Linked DNA regions of Drosophila melanogaster. The protein of the gene in region 1 interacts with the protein of each later gene in a pairwise test. Each region holds a gene or a part of one and is shown on either strand. Other genes may lie near its edges.

Region 1 (3,729 bases):
AGTACGCCAAGTCTACGCTACGAATTTCAAACCTATTTCTACTTCGCAATCTATAGTTAAGATAACATTTATACGGCATTTAATTAACTCTAAAATTAAAAATCTAAAGTGTCAAAATGGGTAATTGAATCTATTCAAGATTTTGATTTTTATTAAATTTTAACTAAAGAACCCATTATAATTTGATATTGGTACAAAGGTTTTATATTTCCAAAAAACTTACCTGAAACATTTAATTAGGCATTTTTGCAATCAACTTTAAACTGGAGAAATTAATTTAAGTATATGGTATCCTAATGAAATAAGTGTTTCGAAAACTATTAAGATTTTTTGTCCACCACTCAGAACCTAGGTTTCAATCCATTAGTAGCTCGGTTTAGTTATATTCTCTTAAACAGACTGATTTTACTTGTATGTGAATCGCGGCCATTTATCAGAAATTTAAAATGCATTTCTTTCCAGTCCTAACTAGCTATTAAGGCCATTTAAATTCCAACTCATCCGTGTATATAGCCACTCGTAATGGTGGATAAACATGCCCAAGCATCTTAAACCAAAACCCATTAAGCATAAGTAGACCATAAGAGTTAATAGAGCATAACGTTGTAGTCAATTTGGTTTAAGCTAATATTTATTTCATAATTATGTGTGAAAGCAGAATAAAGGCAACGACTTCAAGAATGTCCCGCATTTTCATTCATTTTCCTGGCACGCGCTGGAAAATCCACTTTTCAGTTCGCCCCACTGAACAATGGGCACAAGGACGTTTTTTCGCCACCACACCATTTATAATTGTTGCGATGATGTGGTATTGTCTGTGGCCTCCACTGACGTCACTGTTGGAAAGTCAACATCACAAATAAATTGAGCGACAAACCGGGCAGACAATGAAAACATATTGGTTGCTGTGGGCTCTGCAAACAGCCAAAGGTTATGTGCTTTACTCTTATTGTCTGCAAATGGCAATTTTAACATGCCAACTCTGGATATTCATACTGTTTATGTTTGTTTTGAGGCTGGTTAAATTCATGATACGCATCAACCCTTGCGAATTCACTTGCTCCACTTCCTGACTGACATTTAATCGGTTGGGCGAGCAGATGGAAACTATGGTTACTTAATGGGATGGTTGGCAAATAAATTCATTTCAGGTCCTTTCGCACAAATACTTTTCCCTGTCGGCCATCCGCCTCATTGGACTCGACGGAGGAGGAAAAATCCATTAAGAAGCTTACTTCGGATGGCGGACAGTTGCAAAATTTTTGCAATTATGATTTTGCAATTTAATTATTAACTTTTAATTGAATTGCTATTAGCGAGTTAGTAAACAATGCCGAAGTCTTGCGAAAAAAAATTTATGGAAAATTATTTACTTAATTGGTATTCATTCTTATTTACCATGGATTTTATAATAAAAAATGTTGATTTTGTGAAACAAGTACAAAACGAAGATAAATAAATATAGTTGAACAATAAATTATGCAAATAGGAAGATATAACAATTGTTTTATAGCAATCCCATTTTGGATTTATCTTTCAAAATAAATATCTGAAAAAAAACAAGCTATTTAATTTCAAAAGAGCTTACATCCACATGATGCGAAGGCAAAGATTTCATTACAATAACATGAGCCGCCAATTTTAAATCGATCTACATCCTAAAAATTCGTCAAAAAAGTCATGTTTCCAAATTACTGCTTTACGAAATCGGCCAGACAGTCGGGCTATGATGTTTTGAAAAGAAAGGTAGTACGGCATTCCTCTCCCTCAGTGACGTCAGCCGGCAGGAGAAGGACTCGCCATCGAACGGAGCGCCAACGGAATATATCCAAGTCGAGCTCTTTGCGGGACAAGGATTCGTCCTCCAAAAGCGTAGGATTCCGGGAAACACCCGTGATTTGTTCGAGTGAAAAAGACACTCGCAATTCTGGTGGCGACGATAGAAAAACGGATAAAATGACCTCCAGTCCCAGCAACGATCCCAATCGCGATCTGCAGGAATCCTTTGCCGACTTCTTTAGCATCATTCACGATAATGTCCTGGAATCGGTACAGGATGCTGTGCGGCGAATGGTGTCCAAGAGCTTTGAGCAATCCGTGGCCAAAATGGAACGACTGTCGAAGGACCTACAGAATCAGGAGGCGATGCTCAATAAAATCTATCACGATGTCACCAACAGTAAGTTCGGTTAAAAATTTTTATTAAATAAAAATCAATTATTATAATGTAAGAAGCGTAGTAAACTGTTATATCACAACTTCACCGATGTCCTTTAGAAATTGCCGCTCAGAGTGAAGCGAGCTTGAACCAATTCAAATTCGTTACCCAAATGCTCATCGACAACCAAACCGTGCACTACAGAGCGCTCAATCAAGCGAAGGCGAACAAACAGCGGCGCAAGGAAGAGCAAGATCTGGAAAGGGACCGGAAGTTGGAACGAGAACGGAAGCGGATGTGCACTTGCAAGGAGGTGCGAAATGCACGGGTTCGTAAAAGTAGAAGTTCCAGTGTGGACCTCTCGAAAAGAAGCACTGGTGGCGAGGCAAAGGAACGAGTGCCGAAAGCCCCGCAACATCAATTGTGCCAACAGCAGGTGCCATTGGTTTATCATTTGTACAATTCCAGTACGGATCAGGAGTCTACCGCCAGGAGCAATCAGGTGTCCCGGTCGTCTTCAAGGCATGCAACTGCTCCTGATCTCCCAAGACAATCCACTTCTTACAGCATGCCAGACCTTTCCGGCCGTACTTCCCCCAATCCTACGCGGTTTAATCAGAACCAACATGCTTCAAAAGTCTCTAGAAGCAGCTCATCTAGATCTTCTAACCACAGACAGGATAATATTGTCTGCCTTCCGGCCATGACCTATCCACCTTACGTCCGCAATTGTCCAATTCCCCGGCAAAAGTTAATTCGCAAAACTGGTCAGAATAAAGGCAAATAGAAGTAGTCTTTTATGCAGCCCCTGAAACAAAAATCTGTTAAGACTCCCAATTGCATTGCACGTATATAGGAATCAAATGAATTGGGAACCCTTTTCGTGTTTTGCAATTGGTAGTCTTAGCAGCCAAAGCAAATTGAGACATCAATTTTATAGTAAAAATTTTAATAAAAACAAACAGTTTTAATTAATCTAAAATGAATGCAAGCTACTGCTGTATTTATTTACACTTTTTTAAGCCTCTTAAGCTTTTATTTACCTTTTAGGAACAAACAAAATCTCTATCGAATTATTAGGAAATATGTTGATGTATGAACTAATTCATACTTATCAATAGGAACAAAACTGTTAAGCAATGGTAACAGCAACTGCATTGCTCAACAAATCGCTTAATCGGAACTTTCACTGAGTTTTGGTACCTCAACTTTCTTGAGCTCCACGCTCTGATAGTAATTGTTTTTTCGCAAGTAGCGTTGAACAACTGGTGCCAGAAGATTCTCATCAACGTTCTTGATATCCTGACGTCCGTAGACGAAAGTAGCCAAGTTTGAAGTTATAATTGTAAGTAGGGCTCCCAACATAGCGTATAACAGGAATGACATGTGATATATAGATGATCCACTGTGAGGTTCGCTATTAAAAAAGATGTTTAATAAATATAAAAGTTTTTACCGGAAACACGAAATGTACTTACTATTCTAAAGTGGAGTTTAAGTAACGATTCATATCGAAATCATAGTCACAATTGTCCACGGAAACTGGCAGCTTGGTGTGTCGGAAGGAACCT
Region 2 (7,150 bases), on another chromosome or scaffold:
CGCAGGACAAGACATCCTGCCCGCCGAGAAAAGCTTTTCCAAGCGGTCGGAAAGGGGTGAAAAGCTGGGCTGGCTGGCAGGTCCGTATGCTAGCGGTAAATTGCAGGGCAACAAAGTTGTAAACAAATCGTTAAAGTGCTGGAAATAACTGGGTTGGTGGTCTGCTGTCAGGCGGAATACATAAACCCTGACAGTTTTGGCCTAAGGAGTGAGTCCTTTTGAGCTTTGTCGAGCTTTTCGCGTGTGAATAACAATATGAGTGTTTGGATAATGACATATCAAATGACCGTTGGAGGGAAACGTAAGAGCTTAAGTAATCATTTCTTATTTTTTATTAACAATATTGTTTAAATATTTTGTTTGCTCGGAAGTCATTTAGTCAAGAGTAAATTGTGCATTCTAACGAAACTGAAACAGGTATATTTATCTATTTATATTTAAATATGCATAAATGCTTATTTTATTTCTGAAGTAAATTAAAAAAAATAGCTGTTCAAATCTATACCGGAAGTAGCATGCGCCACCTAGCGAGTAGCCCACGAAGCTTGTTCAAATGTCCGAAAAGCTCGCCTAATAAATTTGAAATGTAAACAAATGTTGTTGGAAAGCTTGTTGGCAACTCGGGCGGCAGCAACAACTACACAAAAGCAGCGATGTTAGCGGCAGAGAAATTGCAAAGCTTTGTGAGCAACAACAACATGATTTTTGTTTGCTCGCTTTGTTGTTGGTTCTGAGAGCGACAGCTGTTGTAGTGTCCGTGAGAGCGCAGTTTATGTTTGTGTGCGGTGCTGAGTAAGCAACTGTTGTTGTTTCAATGTTCCCTGAGAGTTAGAGCAAAGAAGAAGAAGAAGCGCACAATGGAATTATGATCACTGGAAATTCGCAGGTAAGTTTTCAGGTAAACTATTTGGGTTCCTGTGTTTTATTTTTTTTGTCAGAGTTACAGCGTAAAAAATGTGTATTTTCTATTTGCGACTGTCACCTGTTCACTAACATATTTTGGGGAAAACCAATTATACATGTTAATGGACGTGGAAATAAATAGAAACATTACCATTAGACAGTAATAATAAGCCTGAAGTTATATTCAACATAACAATCAACATACATATGTAAAAATTGTATTGCCCAACAAAAAGATCTTGAACATGATATATCTTTTGAAAATCCATTTGAATCAATCGATTTCGATCAGGATTACCTAGTAGTCCGCTGATCCTTTGAGAGATCCTTTCGGGGTGGGTGACTAGCCTCTAACGACAGGCAACACTCTTGATGCAGTGCAACTATTTTTGTTGGCCTGTGTCCCTTTCCTACCCTCCACAACCGACAACCAACTCATTGTATCTGTATCTTTGCATTTCGTACCGCGCAGTTGCCGTTTCTCCGACTCGAAAACACTCGTCATTCGTGTGCGTGTGCATTGTTTGTCTTATTTGTTGTTCGTTGCCAGCAACAACAATAAAAAGTTCCCTGCTGTTGAGCAGCCAGCTGTGTGTGTTTGTATTGGCGCATTGGTGTGTGTCCGTGTTAGTATCTGTGTGTGTGCGGCGGAGAGTGTGCGTTGTTCTCTGTTTGCTCGCCGTCCACTCGTGTCATGTTGTTGCTGTTGCTTCAGTGTTCTACGTAGCCGATAGATACTGGTTGATACACTGAGGGAATACGTGTTTAATTGGTACTTGTTTGAACCTCATAACTATTAAATTAATACCGCTTACATGGATCATTAATAAAGTCTGCAAATAATTTTATATTTTTCCCTTTAATTAAGTTTGGGGCTAATAATACATTACCAATTTAAAACATCTTTATATTACATTTCACAATTGCCAAGTGACAACTCTATTTCTCTCAGTGCACCGCTCGCTCTCGCAGGGCAGCAGTCGCATTTGTGGCTGTGTCTGTGTGTTTTTCTCTGTGTGCTTAGTCGCCTTGGTCGCTTGGTACGCGAAACATACGACATTGCCAACAATCCAACAGTCCGCCGCCGATTCCCGAGCGCCGTGCACCGTCGACTCGACCGCGAGTTTTCGAATTCAACATTTTTGAACGTTACGTCAGTCGTCGGTCGCTGCAGCAGCAGCAGCAACAAAAATATTTTTGGCGCCGTTTTATTTGTGTGCCGTGCATCGTGTCGTTTTGAAATCGCTGCGAGCAAGGAGTTGTTGCGTTTTGAAATCGCCTCTGCAACAGGAGTTTTTCTGTAATCCAACGACGAATACCAACCAAAAGGTAATGAATTCTTTGCTTGGAACAACATCACAAGTTAGGAACAACAGCAACAATAACAGCCTGATAAGCAGCAGAAAGAAAAATTCTATATGCCATATTGTTTCCTTGTGTGCGATTGCCTGTGAATGTGTGTGTGTATTGTGTGTATTGTTGTTGTTGTTGTTGTCTATCTAACAAAGTTATTGCGATTGTTGTTGTTGCTGTCATTGGGCCACGGAATATACAATATACTGTATGTATTTTTGTTGGTGGAGGGAAACAAAGAGCGGGCCGGGTATTTCTGCAAGTTTTCTGTGTTTTGTTAGCTTTAGAAATAAATTCTTTTTTTTTGTTGTTGTTTTTGTTTTCCGTTGGGTTTTGTGTTTGGCTGTTGCTGATTCTGTGTTTTTCGATTTGTACGTTGCTGTACTTTTTGCTGAGCCCCGTTGTTAATAGATAAACATGAACATTTCTCAAGGAATTAGTACGCGCTCATGCTGATATGTTTATGTTAAATAGACGTAATACAATAAATATTGCCATATAGCCCAGGTTAGTTGTTTTTCTGCCCCTTCCAGTCGCCATTCCCATTCCATTCCATTTTCCCCCCGCCCACACCGCACACAGCAATCCAACAATAACATTAACAAAAACAACAACGGGCAGAGCCAAAACACGCGAGCAACGTTCGCCTTGATAATGATGTTCGCTGATAATAATGATGACTGGCCAAAGAACACAACAATGCTGCCAGCGCACAGTGGGACCAAAGTGTTACGAAAATGGAAAGCAATATTAATTTTTTGTTTGGTTCAGCTTAGAGTGCTAGAGTTTTCTCTTGCTACTTTTTTATGTCCGAAAAAATAGAAAACTTATTGGACTCTGAACCTGATATTAAGATTAATAGTTGAAGGGAATTATTACCTACGATTTTCCAGAGATTTACTTACAGATGTCCAAAAAATATATATATACATATAAAATACCATCTAATAGGTTTCCAAGCAATGTGGAAATTGTTATTATATTTTTCCTTGATATACTTTTGGTAATGCCCTTTTTCGATTACTTCCATCCCACTGTGCGCACGTTTTTCGCTTTGCAAAACTGGTGGGCCCAAAAGGTGCTGAAAGTGGCGGGAAAACTGTCGGAGATTTAAGAGCGGCCCAAGTGTCGCCGCGATAGAAAGGGGCTGACGGCAAAAGGGTAGGCAGTCGAGTGAATGGACAGGTGGAGTGGGCTGATTAGAATCGAAACAGGTAGTCGCAGGTGCGAGAGCGAATCGTTTGCAAGTAGTGAGCAGTGAGTGCGGTGGGTACTCGCACACATATTCGTGACTATTCAGCGGATTTGGTTTTGGCCAACATGTTTTCGGATATTGCAACACAACATTGCTTGCTGCACTGAATTGCTGCTGCTGCAGCAGAGTGTTGCTGTTGTTGCTGAAGCATTCTGTTGTTGTTGTTACTGTTGTTTTGTTGCTGCTGCTTTAGTTGTGCTGTTGTTGCTGTTATCAGTGAAGCAGACAAAAGCTTTCAGCTTTCGACGCCAGCAGCAACAGCAACAGAAACAAACGGCAACAAAAACACAAACAAGCAGCACAAACAGCCAGATTGCCTGTTATTTTTATGGCCGCTGCCATTGTCGCTGCTGTGGCTATAATAATATGAAAAGTAAACAAAGTTGCTGGCTGTCGTCGTTTCGCCGCCGAGTTGTCAACATCAACGCAACGCAATGCTTTCCTATCCTATCCAGCTAGCCAAACTGTACTGAATATAATGGCAACTACAGCTACAACTACAACTACAACGACAACAACGGCCACGGCTACAACAATGTTTTATTAAGTTTCACGAAATATATATGAGCGAAAAGCTCTATGCCTCGTTTGCTGAGACAGCAGCAACAGACAGCGGAACAGAACTGAACAGAACACAACTGAACCGAACTGAACAGAAACCAACACACAAACAAATAACACGACAAAACGAAAAGAAACCGAACACAAAACCCCAGCAGAAAAGGCAAAAAAGCTGAAAAAGAGTCGTTGAGAATTCTGTTTGTTTGCCAGCTCAAAAATAAATAGGATTGTATATAAATACATATGTATGTATGGTACATACATACATCGATAGGAAAGTCTAAAAATCAAATATTGGAGTGGCTAACTTAACTTGAAGTTGCCATTTCTTGAGATCATAACGTGCAACATGACAGCAAACCCGTTCAAACCCCTGGTAATCGCTGTTTATTTTAACATTTCTCTAAATAGACTTCAAATTTAAAACGTATCTTTTAGTGGCTCTGTGAGGGACGATACCGCCAACGAATATGACCACCTCAACCCGCAGCAGCAGCAACAACCACAGCAGCGAGCACGAGGAGCGAACCTCCAACGGCACCACCGCCTACAACCACCACAGTCCAACGGGTTCGGGATCCGGAACAGCAGGCGCCTCTATTGGATCCACCAACCGAGTGATGCAGGCGGACGAGGACTTCAACATCCGCTTCGTCAACCTGGTGCGCACCCACAAGTGTCTCTACGACAAGAAGGTGCCCGAGTACCGCAACAGGTGAGTGGCGAGTCCATCGGCTGCCAGAAGATACGATCCAGATCGTTCCGTACGTTCAGTCTTAACTAATTTAAATAACTTTTTACAGGGATAATCAGGAAAAGGCTTGGGTGCTTATTTCAAAGGAGACAAGAGAAAGCGGTAAGCAATAATAGGAAAAACATTAATCCCTTAAATTAATCAGAACTTTCATAATCTTTAGTGATCCATTGCAAGGAGCGATGGCGAAACCTTCGGGCCTGCCTATCCCGCTACATAAAGCAGCAATCCGGATCGGAGCCGCAGCACAAGCCATACTACCTGACCGAGCACATGGCGTTCCTGCTGCCCTTCCTGAAGTCCAGCCGTAACTCTTTGGAGGGGAACAACAGTCTGGCCACTCTGTACCAGATGTCCCAGCAGCATTTGCAGCATCAACCATTTCTCCTGCATCCAGCACTCCATGCGACCGAGGAGCACAAGTACTGCGCCAACACTAGCATCAATAATAATAATAATAACAACGACGTCCATAATGGTGAGAGTATGGAGGTCTTGGAGATGAAGTACTCGATATCGGAGAAGGACGATGAGGAGACCATCGACGCCTTTGATCCCGCGGTTACCAACACCCTGGGTATGAATCGTACTTCGTCCACGCCCACTCGCAGTTCTGCCCTTCAAGGAGGCGGAGGCAATTCACCGGCCAGAAGCGATACCGCTAGTGCGGATAGCATGAAAAACTTCATTCCAGATGTGCAGCTGGCCGAGACGGGCTCGCAACTCATCTACAGCGATGGTGGACATGGCACACCACCGCCTCTGCACTACCATCCGCACTCGCATCCACATCCTTTGACATTGTCCATGGATCATCACCCAGCATCCTACGAACCGGGGAGCACGAAAAGAATCAAGACGGAATGCGAGGCCACCAGCACGATGACGAATGCAGGAAGTATTTACGGCGGACTGAGTTCGTCGGAAGTGGCGGACATGGAGTTCTTCCGCAGCATTCTCCCAGATCTGGCGACTCTCACTCCACAGCAACGTCGCAAGTTCAAGATTGGCATTCTGGAGCTAATTGACGACGTTGTAACCCGATATCCCGCCCAGGATCACAGCAACGGAGGAGGCGTATCTGGCGTAGTCAACGGAAGTGGCGGTAGCAGCAATGGGGGATCTGTTAAGCATCAAAGGCGCAGCTCTGGACGCGATTGGAGGAAACAATAAAGGAATAGAAAGTGTATCGGAAAGTCACTAATCCTTAACTAGGGATAGGATAAGTTTAGTTAGAAGCTTAAGGGGGATCTGAAGCTGGAATGGGTACTAATTCGAATCTGAGCTACTTCAGTCCGCTCACTGTTAATGTGTTGTGTCTACTCAATAAGATGGGTATGTTTTCAAAGGCCTTCAATTCTTTCAAGTCCGCGAATTGTTTCGATTTTGACCAACCATTATGAATGGTCCATTTACAAAGAGCTGCAAGAACTTGCATGACCAAATATATACATATATATATGAACAACTAATATATACATTTAAAGCTATTCCGAAATCGAACACATTCAACGAACAAGAAGTAATGAGGTCTCCTTATAAGCCATTTAGTTCTGACGTAGCAGTTAAGGAATTGTGAAAATAGATTTCAAGATTTTAGAAAATGGCTGCTTCGAAAATATGTTAGTTTAAGGACACTGTATATACGCTGCTATTGAAACCTAAACTATAGAATCTGTGTACAAATGAATTTCCGTTTGAGTAAACAAAGAGGGATAAAGAGATAGATCGATATCAAACTGCTGTGTGTAATAATAAACAAATGAAAGTATGGAAAATTACACGGTAAACTTTAATTTAATTGTCGACAACTTCAACAGAGGGCTTTTTATTGGGCCTTGCCCCATTTTTTAGGCAGCGATGGACCACAATAGGTTTCCTTTCTGAGAGAAATGCACAAGGACACGACTTATCTTCGCACTAAAAGCTAAATTTCGTTAGCGGCTCTACGGAGGCTGGGATCGGATTGGATCGGATCTACAACTTCGAGGAGCCAGTCTTGGGGTAGAACTTCTTCGACGGGTCCTTAGCCATGTCGAGCAGGGTCTGAGCGGGCTTGAAGGGAGCTCCGTACAGCTCAGCATAGGATTGCATCTTGCTGACCAGTTTGCCGGCTCCATACTGATCGACCCAGCGGAAGGGACCACCGGAGAATGGCGGGAAGCCCAGGCCGAACACGGCTCCGACATCGCCCTCCAGCGGACTGTCCAGAATCTTCTCCTCCAGACAGAGCACGGCTTCGTTGATGAAGCGGGATACCATACGCAGCGTCAGATCCTCGGGGGCATTGGCTCCCTTTGAGACTAAAGCGTACTTTTGTTTCA
Region 3 (7,882 bases), on another chromosome or scaffold:
CACACTCGGCTGGGTAAACAAATCAGGTTTCCGACGACTAAGCACAATGAAAAGCGCTTTCCAGCTTTTCAGCTGGGGGCAGAAAGTCGTGCCACAAGCCAGACTGCTAGAATCGACTTATCCGGCACTCTAAAAGTCGGAAGCTGGGATCGAAATACGATACAGATATCGCTAATGAACCGCCCCCGCCAGGTGAAAGCCGGTTTCTCATTTGCACCACCTCCTTAAGTTCTTAATTTATGTTACGCTTCCTGCTTCAGATTCAGGGCTATATATACGGTGCACCGATCGATCCAAACAAAGGGCAATTGCTGGCAAGGCGAGGAAGCAGGCATAAAACTCGGATTCGAATGGCTGAAATCAATTTATGGAGTTTTAATCACTGAATTCCCATGCAGGGAATTCCCTCAGATAACAGCAAATGCACTTTATCGACTAAAATGCAGCACACAAGGTGCAATTTTATTTCCGATCGATCAGAAGGCATTACTTCGCGATAAATTTTGAAAAGGTCTTAACTGAGAAATGTCGTTTCGCTCACACGAACTTGCAGCTGCTGCAAAATTTTACCCTGAAGTGTAATTAGTTTGCCGACTTGGCAAGTACGCGTCTCTTTTAAGCTCCAGTGACCTTCTTAGATAAGCTAATCGATTTCCTATAATCGAATAGCAATTTTAATTGATTATGACACTTCTCACTATATACTACATATAGTATTACAGACAATATGTACACACTAGACACTACAAAGTGTCATTGCGATTAAACTATTTACGTAAACATTAACGACTTTATTTTGATTGTAATAGAGCACATTCGGTGCGAAGAGTTCAAGCAACTCGAACGTGACACCATCGGTTATTATTTAGAAATTCCCTTTCGAAATGTTTGAGTTTGAGCGAATTGAAATGGCTTTTAGCAAGAATTTTTCGTAACTGGTAAAGTCATCTGCCTGACTTTTGGCTGCCACCGGGCTAACTTGGCTCACACATCTGCTCCGAGTTCGAGTGGCAGTTTCCAGCCAAAAACCAGTCTGGCCATCTTTGTGAGCCAACAGTTTCCCCCTTTTTGTACCAACCTTTTGTGCCAACTGCGTGTTAGTCTGTGTGGTCAAATGTCGGCATTTTTTATACTTTTGTGTTTATTTTTTATGTGCACGCCTTGGGCAATTTTGTCCATTGTACTGCCTGTCTGCCTGGCTGCAAAAAATTAACGTTGCAGAAATTATATTCCAGAATGGCTTCAACCGAGTGGGATACACTATGATATATAGATGGAAATGTTATATCTGAGCAGTTGGCCAGTGGTGTATTTTCTAGCAGAAATAACAATCGTAAATCGTCAAAATCCGCAGCAACTCGTGATGCTAATGAATCGGTCAACAAATTTGACGATGTCGTGATCCGCAGATTTAAAGCCGGATGAAATTGGCTTGAGCCACCCTAATGAAGGCATCAGCTGAGGCATTTCCGTTTCGCCTGTCCCTCCACTCTTTCCATGAATCGATATCCTTTAAAGGGGACACATAAGTTCCCGAAAAAATGCAATATTCTACCTACACGTCCGTTTCTCTCGTTTCACTTCCTGTTAACGCCAGCTATTTTTACCCAGACATCTCAATCACTATCTGCCCACGCACACAGACTCATGATCGCATTATTTTGGGTATTTCTTGGTATTTGCCAGAGACACATTTGTGTTGATCGTAAGACGGAATCAAGGCGAAACTACCTGAGTTCGAGGTTCATTAGCCAACCTTGCTAATCAACGGGATCTCTCTACCCAGAGGAATGCAGATATTTTTCGGGCATATACTTGGTATATTGACTGCCCAAGGGTCGCACCCAGTTTCCAATTTCCGATCGACGACGCACCCATGCACAATTTGATAACCGGGCCCCATCTGCTCTCCAATCCACATGACATTTCTGGGTAACTTGATACTTAAATGTGGGTTGGCGGGTCTCATGGGAAGCGTTTATAATTCTAATCTGTTGACAAAACCGACCACATGCCAACCGTCTGTGAACCAGTTGATAAAAACCGAAAGACAACCAATGGAGCCAAATCAAAATATACTAATAAATTGAATAGAGGTTTACGTTTAAACAAATCGTGTCTTGTATCAAGACTCGAAATCATTTTGTTAGGCGATACTCTGATACTCTGTGGAAGTGTGCCTTTAAACGAAGCGATCCAAAGTGTTTCCGTATCGGGTTACGTTAAGTACGGGGCCATTATGTATGACAGGGCCAGATCAGGGTTTATCTCGATCGAATGTCAAAGTGTTCTAGAAACAGTTTCAGGAAAGCATTTCCCCATTAGCTGGACGTTAATTAGATGCACGACACTACAAAGCACTCAGTTATAGATTTTTATTTACTGGCGGGGGAGACAGATCAATGGAGGGATGGGGCTTACCGATTGGATATATCCCGACTAGTCTAATCTTTACAGCTGTAGATAGCCGCAGCAATATGATGAATTGGCTGACTCACGAATTTCCGAGTGGAAAACGTATTTGCATACATGTACAAGTATGGCCAGTGCCAGTGCCAGTTACCGGTTTCTCTCTAAACTTGAACAGAGTCTACCCTCGTATAGCCCAGTTCAAGCGGACATCTGTGTATACAGACATATATACATACATATATCGCTGCAATGACAGAAATGGAATTAATTATGGTCGGAGTGTCGGCGGCGCCTTGGCCAAAGCTAAAGCCAAAGCCAATTTCAAGCGAGCCAAAAACCGCTGTCTTTCTTGACTCGATGAAATGTGTTAGCCGAGAGACCTAAACACGTTTAATGCGATCTCGAGACTGCAGTTTTCCCTTCGCGCTTGTGTCAGGCTCCCAGTCAACCTGACACCCACTCGCAACGCGGAGCTGGCTGCTAAGCGGTTTGCTGTGGGGTCTAATGAAATGCTCTAACATACGATATGTGCGCACATATGTTCCCATAGCCGCCATACTGTGTATTGGCTGGATAAATGCGATCTATTCTGGCCGCCTTAACTGCGCATTTTGCATTTTACACTTTGCTGGCGGAGTCGGATCTCTCGCGATCCCGGGTCGTTTGCCTGGTTACGAAAAGCAATAATACCCAAAGCTCTTTGTTTACCACTCGGCGAGCCACGGTCTCGAATTATGTGTTTGCTTTGCCATGAAAACGAAGGCAAACACAGGCGGTCTTTCAATAGGGCCATCCGCCATGGAATCCGCATCGAATGGGTGGAAAATGCATTCCAAAACTACGTAAATTGCATAAGAGACCTGGAGAGCGTCGAGTTTTCAGTCTGGTTTTGAGAATTTCTTAGAATCAGCGAGCTGGCAAACGAGTTCATAATCGGCGTCAAGAAACGCTCAGTGGGGATTCCCTCATATCGAATCGATTCCAAAAAGCACAATGTGATTACCCAATCGTTTAGTTAGGGTAACCAAACCAGTCGCGTGCAATCAAAGGGCAAGCAAACTGAAACTCAAATAAACAAGCTCCAGTTGATGACAGACCAACTCGAATCGCGAGATTGAGAGTCAGCAATTCTCCAGAAACTATTTTCGGCATATGCATTACTGTTAGATGATGTATACAGTACTAATCAATAAGGGAAGTACTTTGCGGATACGGTAGTGCGAATTGTGCTTTCACTGGATTCTGAGTAACGTGTTGAAAATACGCAGCGAATCATATGGGGTGCAAAACAATTGCCATTAAACGATAAGCAAACATTTGGAAATTCGTCGATTCGAATGTAGTGTACCTACTAAATTAGCATGCGAAATGATGTCAACTCTCCGGGTGCCAATGTGCTAATTGGGGCAGTCAACTTGGCTCACCATTTCGTCATGCAGATCGGTGATTTTTAAGGAAATAGGTGGACAATGTGCGCATTCTGAGACCAGCCATGAGCTCGGCCACCTCTCCAGAATGTGGTTGATTCAATAAACGCATATCTACTTATCTGGCTCCAGCAATTAGCGATAAGATAGGGCCCGTTGGGTGTGAGTCGTCTGTTTTTGTCATTTTCTCAGAAGCGGCCATTACTGTACTGTATAACGTTGAATTTCCTGGTCCATTTCAGTTTGCCCATCTACAGGAAAATGAGTCGCCAGTCGACTTGCAGGCTAGTCCTGCTGCTGGCCTTTACCCTGGCCCTAATCCACGCCAGCCACTCAAATACCGTGGGCCCCAAGATCCACTTCATTCATGACGATCTGACGGAAAACGAGCTGAACTCTGGAGAGGAGGTGAGCCCGACCGAGAGTCTGCCCAAAATCTCCACCCCCAAGGTAAAGGATTTACCCGTGGAGACGACCACCAGGAGCCCCACAAAAAAAACCACGTCCTCCGGCACCGAGAAGTCCCTTAGCGAGGAGGCTTGGAATGATCTGATGGAGGCGGCCAAGCACAGCCAAGCTTTGGCTGATGATCCACACTTCAACAAGATGCTCAATACTACCGTCGCCGCCGGGGAGAAGAACTCCACCGATACCGACGATAGCGAATACTATGACTACGATGATGATTACAACTATTTCGATGAGGAGACGGTGACGATTTCCCCCAGTCCCAAGAAGGCCAAGAGCAACCCCAAGCTGCAGCCCATTGTGGATGCCACCATCACGAAGTCCAAGGTATACTTCCCCCATCATCCTTAAATTCAAATAAATATGTTTTCGTACTTTACAGAGCAAATCCAACGACCAAAAGACCAAAGAGAGTGCTAACGATATCGACAGCGACTCTCAATATGACTACGACGAGGGTCTGGATGATGATGATGACGAGGACGATGCCGCTGACGACCTTTTGACCGATGATGAGCAAGTTGTCTTCAGCGAGGACGTTCCGTGTCCAAGATTCTGCCAGTGTGCCCGGAATGTCAACAGCTATCTGGTGGCCACCTGCAGCAGACTTGACATGGGCATCCAGAAGTTTGGCTCTGACATTACGGATTTGGTTGTGACCAATGTGGGTCCTAAGTACCCCATCCTGATGGGACCCAACTTCTTCCAGAATCTGGGTCTTAAGAACGTGGCTTCCATCAAGATCGCCAACTGCACCTTGGAGTACCTGCACGCCGAGGCCTTCCACGGACTGAACGAGCTGTACGCTGTTAACTTGACGGATGTTGGTTTGGCTATCATTAATCCCGATACCTTTGTTGGAAACAAGAAACTGCGCATGCTGACCATTTCGGGTAACGACTTGAGTGTGATGTCCAGCATTCACTATTTGCTGAAGGTGAGTGATTTCAAAAACCTTTACCTTGAAATCCAGCTAATAAATTATAATTTTGCAGTCTTCCAGCATTGAGGAGCTGGACTTCTCGCGCAACAACCTTATGGAGTTGAATCCCAAGGCCTTCTCCCATCTATCCAATGTCGTCTACATTAACTTGAGCCAGAACAGTCTCAAGAAACTGCCCGAGAAGGCTTTCGAGAAGGTTACTCTTCTGGAAGAATTGGATCTGTCTTACAACTCGCTGACTGAATTGCCCCGCGATATCTTCAATGGCACCACCCTGTCCATACTGCACCTGAAGTACAATACCTTCAATGGCGATCTGCACTTTGGCACCAAGGATCTGCAGCAGCTGGACTTGAGCTTTAACTCGATTGTCCAAGTGCACCACAGCATGTTCGACAAGATGCCCGGTCTGACCAACCTGAACCTCAAGGGCAATGGCATTAAGAAGATCCAACCGGACTCGTTCCTTACTTTGAAGAACCTGCGCCACATCGATTTGTCCATCAACGATCTGGACCAGATCTCGGGAATGCTGTTCTTTAAGAACTCTGAGCTGGATGTGATCCGTTTGAACGACAATCCTCGTCTGAGCCAGTTGCCCACCGATGGCTTCTTGAGCTACAGTGGGGAGTTCACCGTCTACTACCTGGATATTTCCAATTGCGCCATCGGTCCATTGGGTCACAAGGCCTTCTCCACTATGCCGCATTTGACCACCTTGAAGTTGGCCTGGAACAACATTAATCATCTGCCGCGCGAGATTTTCACTGGACTGCACAAGCTGATTGACTTGGATCTGAGCAACAACCTGATCACCCGCATGGACGATCTGATCTTCATGGACAACGGAGAGCTGACTAAGCTCAGTCTGGCTGGAAATCCCATTAGCCGCTTGTCCGTCCGCCTCTTCCTGCCGCTGCACCAACTGCGATGCCTGGACGTCAATGACTGCGAGCTTACCACCTTGCTCTCCGATCGCGACTTGGGTGCGGGTTACAAGATCTTTGACAGCCTGCGCTCCTTTAACGCCTCTGGTAATTTGATCAAGAAGATCTCTTCGGAGGATGTGAAGAGCTTCAAGAACCTGCGTTCTCTGGATATCACCAACAATCCGCTGAAGTGCACTCCCGACTTCCAGGAGTTCATCAGCTACGTCACTCTTCAGATGCAGATGACTCCCAAGCGTCTGCCCGTGCTGGCCAATCTGGAGGACGATGCTACTATTGTGCAGCTGGAGACTCTGGCTCAGGCTGGTTGGTCGTCTTTGGCCCACGAGGTGTGCAAGCATGCCGAAGGATCAGATCTCTTGGACGAAAAGAAGGCCGACAGTGCCGAAGCCAAACTGGAGAAGCGTCTGAAGGAAAGCGTGAAGAAGCTTAACGAGGATGAGGCTAAGTTGCTGAGTGTCCTGGACAAGAGTGTGCTAGACAAGAGCAGGCTGAGCAGCATGCAGAAGATCATGAAGGGATCGGTGAACACTGAAACCGCGAAGCCTGAGGAAGATGCTGACGAGGAGAATCTGAACAATGGCGGCGAGGATAAGGAGGATGACAGCAGTGACTATGACAGTGAGGAGGATGATGATGACGATGATGAGGACGATGATGATGACAACAACGATGATGATCGCTTCGAGGAGGCCAAGAAGAATGCCAAGGCTAAGGCCGATGCTAACAAGGCCTTCGACACGTTCGTGAACAAGGAACTGAAGCCAGTCCTGAAGACCGATGGTATCCAGGCGGAGGAAGTGGACATGTCTCAGGAGACCCGTGATAAATTCCTTCTGGGTAAGTTTTAGCCAATCATTCGTTGATGGAATGTATTCCAATCGTATGTTTTACCTTCTCAGAGAAACTGGGCTTCGACAGCGAAAGCGAGGAGTCAGATGAGTACACCGAGAAGATGATCTTCCACGGCGAACTATCCTACGACCTGGTGGTCCCACTGATCGTCGTGTCCTTCTGCCTCCTGATGATCGTGCTGTCCATCGCCCGAGTGATCTACGTGGTGCTGCGCAAGCGCGGCGAGCGCTATCGCATGGCGCTGCTGGCCTCAAAGAACTCGTTCGTATACCAGAAGTTGAGCGAGGACATCGTGAAGCCGACCAGCAAGGAGCAGAAGGAGCCCAAGCATCTGAAGCAGCCAAAGGTGCACCGATACGCGCCCATCAATCAGGTCTAAGTCCACCTAGAATCAGCAGTTCCGGGCCGGTGGCCGCGGAAATCGAACGAGTTGCGCTGTTTTTCTAATTTATAAGTATATTGATAGTTGAAAAAGTGGAAAATCACATCAGACAATTGACTAAACACAAGCACAAGAATGTAAGAAACAGGAGGAGGAGCAGTAGGTGGCAGTTAAAAGTATTAGCGAAAGTGCGAGGAAACAAAGCAACAACTAAAAAATACTTGAATCCAAATAAGAGATTGAAAGAGAGAGAATAAATCTTTGACAAAATCCTTTATCCTTGAAATATCCTGTACCATCAAATACTGTTAAGACCAGTCAAAGGTCCTTGGCAACAGCAGAGGTGGGCTTTCAGAGAACGCGTTTGATGAGCAACCGTTTCGAAAGCAACGGATTTGCAATTTATCAAACCTCTGCCCACAATCCGTATCCAATTAGTCCATATCCG

The links.
Region 2: the proteins of CG14546 (region 1) and brwl interact in a two-hybrid assay, tested with the Drosophila melanogaster proteins (one large-scale study listed by BioGRID).
Region 3: the proteins of CG14546 (region 1) and Gp150 interact in a two-hybrid assay, tested with the Drosophila melanogaster proteins (one large-scale study listed by BioGRID).

The regions. Positions count from the first base shown.
Region 1 is NT_033777.3:25,920,449-25,924,177, reverse strand, and holds CG14546 (uncharacterized protein), read left to right. Parts: upstream 1-1,543; 5' UTR 1,544-1,680; coding exon 1,681-2,179; intron 2,180-2,277; coding exon 2,278-2,945; 3' UTR 2,946-3,136; downstream 3,137-3,729.
Region 2 is NT_033779.5:9,566,967-9,574,116, forward strand, and holds brwl (brickwall), read left to right. Parts: upstream 1-1,923; 5' UTR 1,924-2,232; intron 2,233-3,304; exon of another isoform or gene 3,305-4,448; intron 4,449-4,510; 5' UTR 4,511-4,542; coding exon 4,543-4,787; intron 4,788-4,875; coding exon 4,876-4,928; intron 4,929-4,989; coding exon 4,990-5,999; 3' UTR 6,000-6,606; downstream 6,607-7,150. Other genes in the region: Mtpalpha (mitochondrial trifunctional protein alpha subunit), read right to left, coding at 6,804-7,150.
Region 3 is NT_033778.4:22,321,094-22,328,975, forward strand, and holds the start of Gp150 (Gp150), read left to right. Parts: upstream 1-1,809; 5' UTR 1,810-1,876; coding exon 1,877-1,932; intron 1,933-4,024; exon of another isoform or gene 4,025-4,081; coding exon 4,082-4,634; intron 4,635-4,689; coding exon 4,690-5,244; intron 5,245-5,302; coding exon 5,303-7,037; intron 7,038-7,099; coding exon 7,100-7,431; 3' UTR 7,432-7,882.